Struthio camelus: one gene and its partners. The protein of the gene in region 1 purifies or fractionates together with the protein of each later gene. This does not show direct contact. Links are inferred from orthologs where the notes say so. Each region holds a gene or a part of one and is shown on either strand. Other genes may lie near its edges.

Evidence for each region.
Region 2: the proteins of CTBP1 (region 1) and ZNF217 purify together in Homo sapiens (affinity purification with mass spectrometry; 10 studies listed by BioGRID and IntAct, counting the BioPlex papers as one, with this or other methods). This does not show direct contact. The link is inferred for Struthio camelus from reciprocal best matches to the Homo sapiens genes CTBP1 and ZNF217.
Region 3: the proteins of CTBP1 (region 1) and MECOM purify together in Homo sapiens (affinity purification with mass spectrometry; 6 studies listed by BioGRID and IntAct, counting the BioPlex papers as one, with this or other methods). This does not show direct contact. The link is inferred for Struthio camelus from reciprocal best matches to the Homo sapiens genes CTBP1 and MECOM.

Annotation. Positions count from the first base shown.
Region 1 is NC_090945.1:79,523,026-79,526,767, forward strand, and holds the start of CTBP1 (C-terminal-binding protein 1), read left to right. Parts: upstream 1-1,337; 5' UTR 1,338-1,445; intron 1,446-3,742. Other genes in the region: E3 ubiquitin-protein transferase MAEA, read right to left, coding at 511-579. UniProt on the Homo sapiens protein: Corepressor targeting diverse transcription regulators such as GLIS2 or BCL6. Has dehydrogenase activity. Involved in controlling the equilibrium between tubular and stacked structures in the Golgi complex.
Region 2 is NC_090959.1:11,537,113-11,540,854, reverse strand, and holds the start of ZNF217 (zinc finger protein 217), read left to right. Parts: upstream 1-912; 5' UTR 913-1,069; intron 1,070-1,234; exon of another isoform or gene 1,235-1,347; intron 1,348-1,506; exon of another isoform or gene 1,507-1,712; intron 1,713-1,889; exon of another isoform or gene 1,890-1,935; intron 1,936-2,757; exon of another isoform or gene 2,758-2,870; intron 2,871-3,742.
Region 3 is NC_090950.1:28,166,237-28,169,978, reverse strand, and holds the start of MECOM (histone-lysine N-methyltransferase MECOM), read right to left. Parts: upstream 2,953-3,742; 5' UTR 2,771-2,952; coding exon 2,734-2,770; exon of another isoform or gene 2,730-2,733; intron 1-2,729.

The DNA of each region.
Region 1 (3,742 bases):
CGTGATTCACACGCCCCTACACCCCCTGCCCCAGCCGGACTCCATCCTCACCCCTCACCTCGCCCTGTCACCCCAGCTCAGCCGTGACTTGCCCTCTCCCCCCAACCCCGAGCAGCTCCGCCGGCTCTCGGTGACCCCCGGTTTTGTGGCCGGTGCGGCTCGGGGCCTTCCCCGCTCACCTCAGGGCACGGAGGCCCCCGGCAGCAGCAGCAGCACCATATTCCAGGCACGTCCCTCACCCACGGCGCAGGGGGAAGGGGGCGGGGGGAGGCACAAACCGCGGCGCTGCGAGCCCCGAGGGCCGGCGGCGAGGCAGAGGGCGGCGGGAGAAGTGCGTGTGGGGACCCGCCGCCGCCCCCCGAGGGGCGCCTGAGCCGGGCAGCGGCCGGGGCGGGGGAACGAGGGGGGGGGGGGCAAGGCCGCCGCTCCCGCCCCGCCGAGACGCTGGCCGAGGCTCGGCCCCTTCTCCTCCGTGCGTGTGGCGGCGGCGGGGAGAAGCTCGGCACCCACCTTGAGAGTGGGATACTCCTGCACCTTCAAAGTCATTGAGAGCTGAGCAGCTGATTCCTGCACCGCCATCTTGGACTAGGCATCAACCTCCTCCCTCCTTCCCCGCCCCCCCCCCCGCCCGGACCAAAGGGAGCTACCTACAGCGCGCGCGGCATGACGGGCAATAAAGGCCTTCCTCCTCGCCATCCCTAATGGAGACGGGCCGAACCAACGGTGCTCGCTCCTGCCGCCGGCCCGCCCCCCTCTCCTCTCTCCCCACCCCCCCCGCCGCGTGGTACGCTCCACGGGACGGTAGTGGCGGAAGAGCGACAGCGGGGCAGACAGGCGCCAACCAATGACGGCGGGCCTTCTGCACGTTCCTTTGACACCGCCTCCGCGCTTGAGATGCCACGCCTGATTGGGCAAGCTGTGGAAATGGGCGGGACCGACCGGCAGCGCGGACAAATCAAGTGGGATGACGCCATGCCTCCGGGCGGGACTTTTAGTGGTGATTGACGCGCAGCCGCCCAGCCGCGGTGGAGAGGCTTTCCCCTGGCCCAATCAGAATCTCCTGTAGCCCAAAGTGGGTGGGACCTAAAAAGTAAATTTCGATGGTGACTTAAAACGGCCGTTATAACAACCCCCCGAGGTGTCCGGGAAGGAGAGGGGCGGGACGAGGGGCGGGGCCTATGCGCAGAGCCACTTGACAGGCAAGCGGCCGAGCCAATGGTTTCGCGCAGCCCAGCTGACGGGCACGGAGTCGAGCGAATGGGCGGCGCGGTTGGGGCGAGCGGGCGGGGCGGCGGCGGTGGCGGCGGCCGGGCGTGCGGGCCGTGTGTATATTGGCCGGGGGGAGGGGAGGGGGCCGGCCCCTAGTAAGTTCCGCGGGGAGGAGAGAGCGAGTGAGAGTCAGTGAGGCGGAGGCGGCGGGAAGAGGTTTAAATAGCGGAGACAGCGTGAGTCCCCTTCCCCTCAGCTCCCTCTGCCCGGCTCGCAGCCGCCCGCCTCGGTTTCCCTCCGCCAGCCCGCTGCGGAGCCAACGCTGCCCTCCGCGGCGGGGAGGCCCCGAGGGGCCGCCCTCCCCCGCCGGCTGCGGCCGGGCCGGGCCGGCGCTAACTTTGCGCAGCGGGGCGGGAGCGGCTCCCCCCCCTCCTCCTCCTCCCTCTTCCTCCCCCTTCCCTCTTCCTCCGCCGCCCGCCTCGGCAGCCGGGCTGGTCGCGCCTTCCCTGGAGGGCGGCGAGGGGGGTTGGCGGCCCCCCGGGCCGTCGCCATCGGGGAGCGAGGCCGGGCCGCCTCCCGCGGTCCCCTCAGGAGGGAGGAGGCGGCGGCGGCCACCGGAGGAGCCGCCCCCACCGGCAGCTGCCGCGCCGCGTTATGGGTTTAGATTAGTGATTTTCACCTACCTCCCCCCCCCCCCAACCGCTTTCGCTTGGCCGTTTCCCGGCTGTGTTTGGATGGAGTCGTGGGTCTGCCTCTGGCCGGCTTAACGCTGCTCGTTCGCCCCGGTGACAGCTGTGCGGTGCCTCAGAGGGGTCCGCAGCTCCCCCAGGAGTCGCCGGGTCACGGGATGAAAAGGACTGGTTTAAAGGAGAAGTGAGGGTGCTGGGTGTGTGTGGAAAGGGCCTGATCCTGCCGACCGCCCCGACTTTATGTGTCTGAGGGAATAAAAGCGCTCGTGAAACTGTTGGCTTCTTTGCAGCACCCGGCATATGAGGTTTTGTATTAATCCTCAGAGCGTCGATATAAAAGTTAACGTGGAGAGGGAGGTGTTTTGGGGGTTCAAAACCGCATGACTTTCGTCCTCCTCTTTGGCATCCTGCGCGGAGTTTCTCACCGCCTTGGTGGGTAAGACGGAAGGCGCTGTGTGAGCGAGACCGCGGAGGTGCTGGGTGTGCAGCGCAGCACCGCAGAAGGGGTGACGTACCGATCGGAGGTCGCGCGTGGAGCGCTGCGACCTCCTTTCTGATGTCGTCGAAGCCAGCGACAGAGTTCCCCTTTCTCGTGAAAGTTCTCGCCTTGGTGATGGGCTATGCTTTAGGTAGTGTGCTTTTGTGGGTTAAGGCTTTAAGAAAACCCCTAAACCTTTATACACTAGTAGCTGTGATATTTTTGTTGTCTTTCCTAAACTTTGTGGCTATGTTGCTTCTGGACTGCAGAAGACTGTAGAAAAAGAAACACAGATATTTCCAGAAAGGTCAACACACTTTGATAGTTTGAGAGAGCAAGGCTTCTTTAACTAAGACATGTTTGTAGAATATTTAGTAACGTTCATTTCTAATTTACATAGGGCCAGTTGCACTGAAAACATGTATCTGGCACAAAGGGCTGATGGTGAATAAAAGAAAATGCGTGAACTCCTGTAGCTGAGTGTTCCCTTCAGATCTGGACTGCAAACTGTCTACTTGTGTTTACTCTGAGCTGCATTGCTGCCCTAGCATTGTCTGGTATTGACCATAATCAGCAAATGTATGCCTAAATGTAATTTGCCAAGCCCACACCAGGTGCAAAGCCTTTGTTTAAAAGTATATTGGTAAAATCATTTGTATTAGTTGCACCTGGGTTTGACATTCATGCCTAGACATGATCTTGGGGCCAGATTCTGCAAGAGGATTTGTGTAAGGAGGATTTTGACTCCATGAGGGTGCTGTGCAGGGGATGGTTTACCTGATCTCACTGAGTGGAGGACTGGAAACTTAGTTCAATTGGTGCTGTGTTTTGCAGCGTGCTTATGTAGCATTTTAAGATCTTCATATTGTATTTGCGTAGTCTATTTTAAATAGTCTGTAAATAGAAAATGTCCTTCTAAATATTAGCTTAATATTCCATATCATTAATGTTACTAAACTGCTTGAACTTGGCACTTTTTAACTCTTTAGGCCCATGTGTAACATTGGTAGTGATTGAACATGTGTGCCTTTCCATGTAATTTACTAAGTTGTGTATATTTATGTCCAAAAATCTTATTCACATCATATTTTTGATGGGTAATATCCTCAATGGTGCTCTTCGATAAGAGAGTAGCTAATTTAATGTAGCCTAAATAAGAGATGATTCCTTTGGTACAGTTTTGTGCTCAGACTGGGTCAGTCTTTACAGTGGAGAATTATTGGTGAAGGTTTGTCAGACATTAGTAGCCAAAGTTGAAGGGTTTGCCTAATGGAACAGATGGCCAAGCAACCATCATGTCAGAGAAAACAGCATGTATTCCATGTATTCTTAGTTTAACACAAGAGGGAGCATGTCTAATCTTTAA
Region 2 (3,742 bases), on another chromosome or scaffold:
CAGCTGACTCACAGGGATGTATTTTAACTTCCAGGGAAGTGGTAAGGGTGCACCACCTACCTCTATGACTAGTTGAGGGGCCAGGTCTTCAAGATATAAATTTTAAAAGTTTGGTCTTGTGGCAAGTTTTGGTCTTTTTTTCATTAAAGAATTTTGTTTCAAGTTAGCGTGATGGAAGATTCAAATTTGCCAATAAAGATACTTCATCTCCCTGAATTATTATGTGGCGAGAAAGTATTACCACATTTTGTCATGTTTTTGATTAATCTTTATTTGCCATGTAAGTGACCAAAAATTCCCTCCGAGTAGTGTTTCTCATTTTACACTGGGAAAAGAGTCTGAAAAAAGTTAAAAAATTAAAAAAACACCTAATCTGAGAGGCAATTATTTTAGAGATTTCCTCCTTTCAGGCAGGGTGATTTTTACATTGAAGCCAATGAGCCCGCGGGCGCCATCTAAACCTGATGATGTTAAACTAAACTGACTTTAACAAGTCTCTATGTATCTTTGGGTGAAAAGCAAGGAGAGACCACATGGAAACTCCCCTCTTTCTTATCCTATTTACTGGAGGAAGGTGCTAACCTTCTTCAGGGTCTAGGAGAGGCTGTTAAGTGCTTTGCTAACTGAATTACAGATCCCATTTACCTTTAACTCCTGCAAAGCTCCTCAGTTGCAACCGAAAGGCTTAAAAATATTATTTTAACTCTTCCTCTGCTGCGTTTAACGCCACTCCAGCACCCAGGCTAATATACCTTTAGGGAAGTAACGCTATGGCAGAGGGGACGGCTGAGCGCTTCCGACAACGACTGCCAGATGCAAGAAACACGAAATATCAGAAATCCCCATCCTTTTCGGTGAGGGTTACCGTCCCCCCCAATAACCTCGCGCCAGCAGCGCCCTCCAGCCTGTGACAACAGCTGGCAGCAAACTGTCTGCCTGTTTCTGCCGCGGCCGTTTCCCCTCCTCCCGCGGCAACCTCTCCATGTGCTGGAAACACGCATTTAAGCGGAGCGCTCCGCAGCGGCTAGAGGTCATCTGGGCTCCTGAAAGCACGACCGAGAAAAGACGGGTCAGGCTATTTTACTCCCCCCCCCCCCCCAAGCGACGCACAAAAGGGGAGCGGCGAGGAGCGCTTCCCCGGCGCAGGGCCGCTCCTTCCATGCGCAAAGGCGGGCGGCGGGCCGGGCCCAGGCGCTGGCCGCGGCCCTGCCCGGGCCGGGCGGGGGGGGGGTGGGGGCGAACCGCCCTTTTCTGCCCTTTGTCGTGCGGGGAGATAACTACCGGCCCACCGCGCCGGGCGGCAACGCGCCTCAGCTCGCCCGTGCTTTCTGAGGGGAAGGAGTACAAGTAAGTGAGGCCGCTTCCCCCCCCCGCGCGGGCGGGCGGGCGGGCGGGCGGACCGCGGCCCCCACAAACTCCCCTCACGTTATTTAACCCCGGGGCCGGTGCCGGTTCCCGCGGGGCGGGGCCGGGCCGGGCGGGGGCGGGGCCGGGCCGGGCGGGGGCGGGGCCGGGGCGGGGCGGCGGAGCCCGAGTAACAGCTGCGGCGGGAGCGATTTACAAACAGTGCCCCGAGCGCCAGCGCCGCCACTCCGGGCTCCGGCGGCACCGCGGGCGGCCGCCCTGCTTCCCTCCTCCTCCTCCTTCCTCCTCCTCCTCCTCCCTGCTGCCCCCACCTCAGGATGCCGGCCGGGCAGGCGGCTCAGGCGCAGGTGAGGGAGGGCGGGCTGAGGGTCGGCTCGGCTCGGCTCCCTCCGTGCGCAGCAGGCTGAGGGGGGGAGGGGGGGGCGCCCGCTGTGAGGGAGGTGGGGGGAGGCGTCCACCCCCCCCTTCCACCCCCCCCTTCCACCCCCCCCTTCCACCCCCCCCCCGGCCTTTCCCCTCAGAGCGGGGCCGCCCATCGCCGTGGTGTCCCGGCGCCGCTGCCCGCCCAAGGTGGGGGGGGGGGGAGCGGAGGAGGGAGGCAGGTGCGCGGGGGCGGCTGGGGAGGGGGCCAGGTGCGCGGTGCCCCGGCTCTTCCCTCCCGTCGCCTCCTCTGGGGGGCGCCTCAGCCGCCCCCCCCCCCCGGCCACCACCACCCCTCAGCCGGGGGGCGGGAAGGAGCCGCGGCAGGTAACGCGCCCCCCCTCCGGGGCTGGGGGCGCCTCTCCCCCCCCGCGGTGGAGCCCGCGCCGTGCCCGGCACCCCCCCCCCCCCCCCCCGCGAATAGGTGTCTCCAGCTCCCATTGTGCACCTGGGTTTTGGCTTTCAAACACACAAAACGGCGACTTTCTGGGGGGGGGTGCCTCTGCTTTATTTGTACACCCCCCCTCCCTCCGGGTAAGGGAGGGGGAGAAGCGGGAAGAGGCTATTTCTTTGTGAGTCTAAGATGTTCCTGGCGGAAGGACTGGTAGTAGGTGGCTCGTGCTTGGATTGGGGGGGGGGTTAATGAAAACTTTATTGATCCGCTTTGCCAGGTTTTGTTTCGTTTGTCTCCCTCTTCCAGAGCCCAAAGTCTTCCTGATCGTGTCTTTGGCATCGTGGTATCGTGTTTCTCTCTCTTTCTCTCTCTCTCTCTCTTTTTCTTTTATTTTTTTGTTTTTAAGGGCAATAGGAAGTTTAGAAAAACAAACAAATAAGCCTCAACTGACTCCAGCAGCAACAAAAGACGTTGCCAAGCGAGGACAATAAAATTCTAGAATACCTCGAGGTTGGGTTTCGGGCCCTTGTGCGCGGTGCCCGGCGGAGCGGCTGCGGTGGGTGCGCGAGGAGCGGGGGGGGGGCGGGTGTTTATTCCGCCCGCAGAAAACCTGCGGCCGGAGCGAGCCCTGGGCGGCGTGCGCCGAGCGCCCGGCCCGTCCCGCGCAGCCCAGCGCCCTCCCAGCCTCCCCGTAAGTATTTGGGTTGGAGCGTACTAGTTCTGAAGTGGTGGGGAACGAAAAATCTCTCTGCTGGGGTTATTGATCCGGTGATGAGAGGCGTTTGAATTTGAAAAGGGTTTAGTTTAGGGCTTTTGTGTGTTTAAAGTTTTTTTTTTTTTAAGCAACTTTTTTTTTTTTTTAATTCTGAAATGACCTTGAGAGCTTTGAAACTACACCAGTTTCTACCAGTGGGTTTGAGGGGGAGGCAGCAGCAGAAGGATCTAGTGAAAATCGAAAATAGAAATAGGAACTGAAGTAGATGCAGTGAAATGTTTTCTTATAGAACTATGTGAAAAGGGAAGTTTTTGTAAGAATGTGTGAAAAAGGAGAGAGGGAAATAACGCAGTTTCAGATGCAAGGGGAGAGAGAGCATATCATTCCTCACATTTTATTAGGCCCTGAAATGCAGGAGTGATATGATCTGGAAGACACAGAAATAAAACGCCTAACTGCAAGTTGAATAGCAGGCATTGACTTGCTGACCAGCGCTTACATGCGTGGTGGGGGCTGGTTTTTGTCTGCTAAGGTATCAGAGCACAGTGCTATGACAATGGCTTGCAAATGCTTTAACGCCATGTTTTATTGCTCTTATGAGCTCTCATTAACTGTAGGTTTGGGAATACGACTAATACTTTTAATTTGTGATGTCTTCACCAAGATTTAAGCCTTTCCTTGGATAATAGAAAGGGACAGTTTCAAATAAGTAGGATAAACTGCATTCTTTGGCAGAGGGGGAGGGAAGAGGGAAAGGGTGGAGGAGAGGGGTTTTTTTTCCTTCCCCTTTACTAGTTTTGTAACTGAGTCAATATTTTAAGATCTGTGGCAGGAATGTGGCTTTGTGA
Region 3 (3,742 bases), on another chromosome or scaffold:
ATCACCTTCTGTCTCTTTATGAGGCTACTGGGTGGCTCGGGGCTACCCCTAGGCTGGCTGCAGGGATCCGGCAGCGTGCGGGCTTGCGGCGGACCCGTGCTGGGGCGGGGGTTATTCAGGGATACGATTTCATCAGGCGGGCACAAACTCAGCAGAGCAGAAGAGCAGCTGCCCCGGGTGCAGGGGTCCTGCCCCAGCGGAGCTCGGAGCGGGGCCGCCGCACAGGTGCAGCGCGGCTGCGGGCGGCCGGGCCCCGCACGCCGGCCCCGCTCTGCCGCGCCGCCGGGCCGCGCTCCGCACACCGCTCCTCAGCAGCCTGCCTTCCAAAAGTGTGGGAGAGAGAAAGATTTTACCTCGTCTTCTCCCTTATTTTTGCAGCCGAGCATTTAGAAAATTAACTGGCTACTCCCAGCGTGGCTTCTTTTGTTTTTTCTGATTTTTTTTTGGGGGGGAGGGGATCCTTTAAATTATTTTTTCAATTTTACACAGAGGCTAAGAAATTGCGCTCTTCAGGTATTCTCCCTTAATTGCAAGCAAAAAGCTTTCCTGAATACTAGCGAAAAATCACACAATCGGGGCGTTTTTTACTTCACGCACAAAGAAGTAAAAGTGAAATAATAAAAGAATTGCATTTGATCCCAATTTATATGATTTTCCATGTAATAGCGTGAAGGCTACAAAACATTTTCTATTCACAGCCCAGAAAGAACGAATTGAAAAACTGAAAACTTTTCTTGCTGAACGACTAAATTCCAGGGTCGCCTACAACCCTCCTTCCACTTGCCATGAAACTGAGACGCTCTTCAGGGGAAAAGAAACAGTGTTTCAAAATACAAAAATCCCAGCTTTTTAAATATGATTTCCTTTATGAGCGGATTGTAACTGAAGGATTATATAATGCAACGCATCTGTCTGGGGGAAACTGCTGTTGCAGCAGCGAAAGCCAAGACATGCAGCCCAAAGAAGAAACTTTTTTTTTGTGTAAATGGCCAAATCTATCCCTGCAGAGCAGCGGCAGCAAGAGCAGCCTTGCAACGTTATACATGAAAGAAAAGGAAGGGAAAGAAAAGAAATCCTGACGGTTTGGTAGGGGACGTGTCACTCTTTTTACATAATTAGCCCAAAAGTAAGGTTGGCAACCTGGAGATTTAATAACATATTTGTATTCAAATCGCCTTGCGCTGGATTATCCACTTTTAAATCACCTAATCAAATGCAGGTTGTTGCTGTTATTGTTAAGCTTCAAAGAAAAGCTGATGATGATCCAGAGATATTTTGCTTCCCCTTTTCCACGCTGCTCTATTTTTTCCCTTAACAAATAAAGAGTAAATAAGCATCTGCTTTTTACGTCACGCAACTTATGCAACATTTCATCTGACTTTTTTTTTGCCTGCCCATTTTTTCAGTCGAGAATGTAAGCTGCAATCGGCATGAATTTCAAGCGAAGCTTGCCCAGATGTGTCAGTGAAAATAAAGACATCAGCTGCTTTTAAAATAGGACGCGAAAGCTGGCGAAGTTTTGTTGTTGCTTCCCTCTTTTTTAAAAACACTGCTGCAGTTAAAAGCAAAGATCCCTATCATAAAGGAGAAACAGATGGAGTGAGCGTAAGACAAATAATTAAATAAATCGGCATTTGCGTGTCGATGGCTGAGACCTAGCCTAGCAGAATAGAGACCTTTGGGCGGCCAAACTGTATAAAAAGTGCTGGAAAGGCGCCTGAAATTACAACATTTAGATCAACTTTTAACGGGTGACTCCAGCAGGCTGGGAACTGCTCCGCGGTGTCCGGCGGCCCCGCTCCCCCCGGCGCGGCCCCTTCCACGCGTCCACCCGGCGCATCCCGGCGGAGCGGGGCGGCGGCGGGCGGCTCCCGCTGGCCCCGCTGCCCCGCGCCCGGCCCCGCCGCCGGCCCCTCCCGCGGGGGCCGCCCCGGCTCCGCGCTGCGACCGCACCGCTCCGCGCTGCGCTGACAGCGCCTGCGGGGCTGCGCGCTGGGGACCACCAGGGCTCCCCCGTGCACAGCCTCCTTGCAGCACAGCGGGCTCCCCACGCGTGCGCCGCTCCCGTGTCCGCTTTGGCTTGATTTTACCCGGCTACGCATATATAAACATATATATTGTTTTTTAATATTTTTCTGGCACAAGCCGGCAGCCGACCAGCCCTCGAGGCGGGCAGGGCCAGGGGGGTCCCCGCGAGCTCTGCACCGGCAACTTGTTCCCGAGACTCGCCGCCTTCCCCCGCAGCCTGGAGCAGACCTGCCGCTGGCTCCCCCCTCCCCACCCTCCCGTGTGCATGGATGTACACACACACACACATATACACACACACGCACACACACACACACACACACACGGCCCCCAGCCCTTGCAGACAGCCGACAGCGCCCACTATAGGGCCCGGAGCCTCTCGCAACCCCCCCTTCGACCCCCCCCTCCAGCCCCCGGCAGCAGCAGCAACTTCCAGCGCTCGCCACTGAACTTTTCCTCAACTCCTTCCCCACCTCCCGCCGGGCGCCCCGCAGCCCCCAGGCCGGCTCCCGGCGGCCGTGGCCCTCGGCCCCCCGCGCCCGGGATGCTCCGCCGCCCGCCGGGACGGCTCCGGGGCTAAGGCCGGGGCCGGGCCGGGCCGGGGATGCGGCAGGTTGCCTGCGAGCTCCGCGGCGCATCAGACATATCATGCAACATGGCAGAGAGCGAGGGTGAAAAGCCAAGAGAAAGGGGTATTGCACCTACTTGCGGCCAGCTTCCTTGCCCTGCCTTTGGATCGCATGCTGCCAGTCCCGCGGCCGATGCTGGCGGGGGGGCCTTTTTTTTTTTCCTCCTGGAGCTTTTCCTCCTTTTTCGCTCCCCCTCTCCCTCTCTCCTCTCCCTCTCCCGCACACACACTCTCCCTTTCTCTCAATCCCGGCTCGCTATCTCTCCAGCATTGTCAGTTTGGACACCTTCGCACATGCGCACGGGCGGCTCCCCCCCGCTCTTCAACATTTCAGCGCCGCCAAAAAAAGTTTGCAGCGATCCATCACCGCCGGTGGGGACCCTGACAGCCGGCACCGGGGCCGGGCCGCGCCGGGGCCGCCGCGCCTGCTCCCCCGGCGCCGCCCGCCGCCCCGCCGGCGCACGGGGCGCGCTGCGCCAGCGGCCCCTGCCCCGTGCCGCGGGGAGCCGCCACCGAGAGCGCGGCCGCGGCGCGGGGGTGCTGCCGCCGCGGCGGGCAGCGCGCTCCGCGTGCCGGCGCGCCCGCGAGTCTTTACAGCGGGAGAAGTCTCTTTTGCTCCCGCCGTGGCAAGAGTAGGAGAGTGGAATAAATTACGCTTTCTTGCTGGCTTTTTATATAATATTAATGCTGCTCTGGCGTCTTTGCAACATTTAAGTAGTGTATTCTCATCCGGCCGCAATTATCATAGATCTCTGCGTATATATAGACGGGGAGATATAGTTTGATTATGTATGCATATCATTAAATTGTACACTTCTCCAGCGCACCCACTTTCCCCACCTTGAACTCGGCTCAGCTACCACCAGTTGGGCAGAAAAAGTGCTTTTAAAACAGTAACACCGACCGCTCTAATCTGTTTTAATTACAGGGCTTGCCAATCAAAGAGAGAGCGTGCTGAAATTGGGAACTCCTTTAGGGGATGGCTGTGTCCGAGGTATGAATCAATCCAAACTACATATAGATTTTCCTCTGGTACAACCTCCTTGCATTAAACAGTTTTGTTCAATACCTTCCATGCGCTATTTA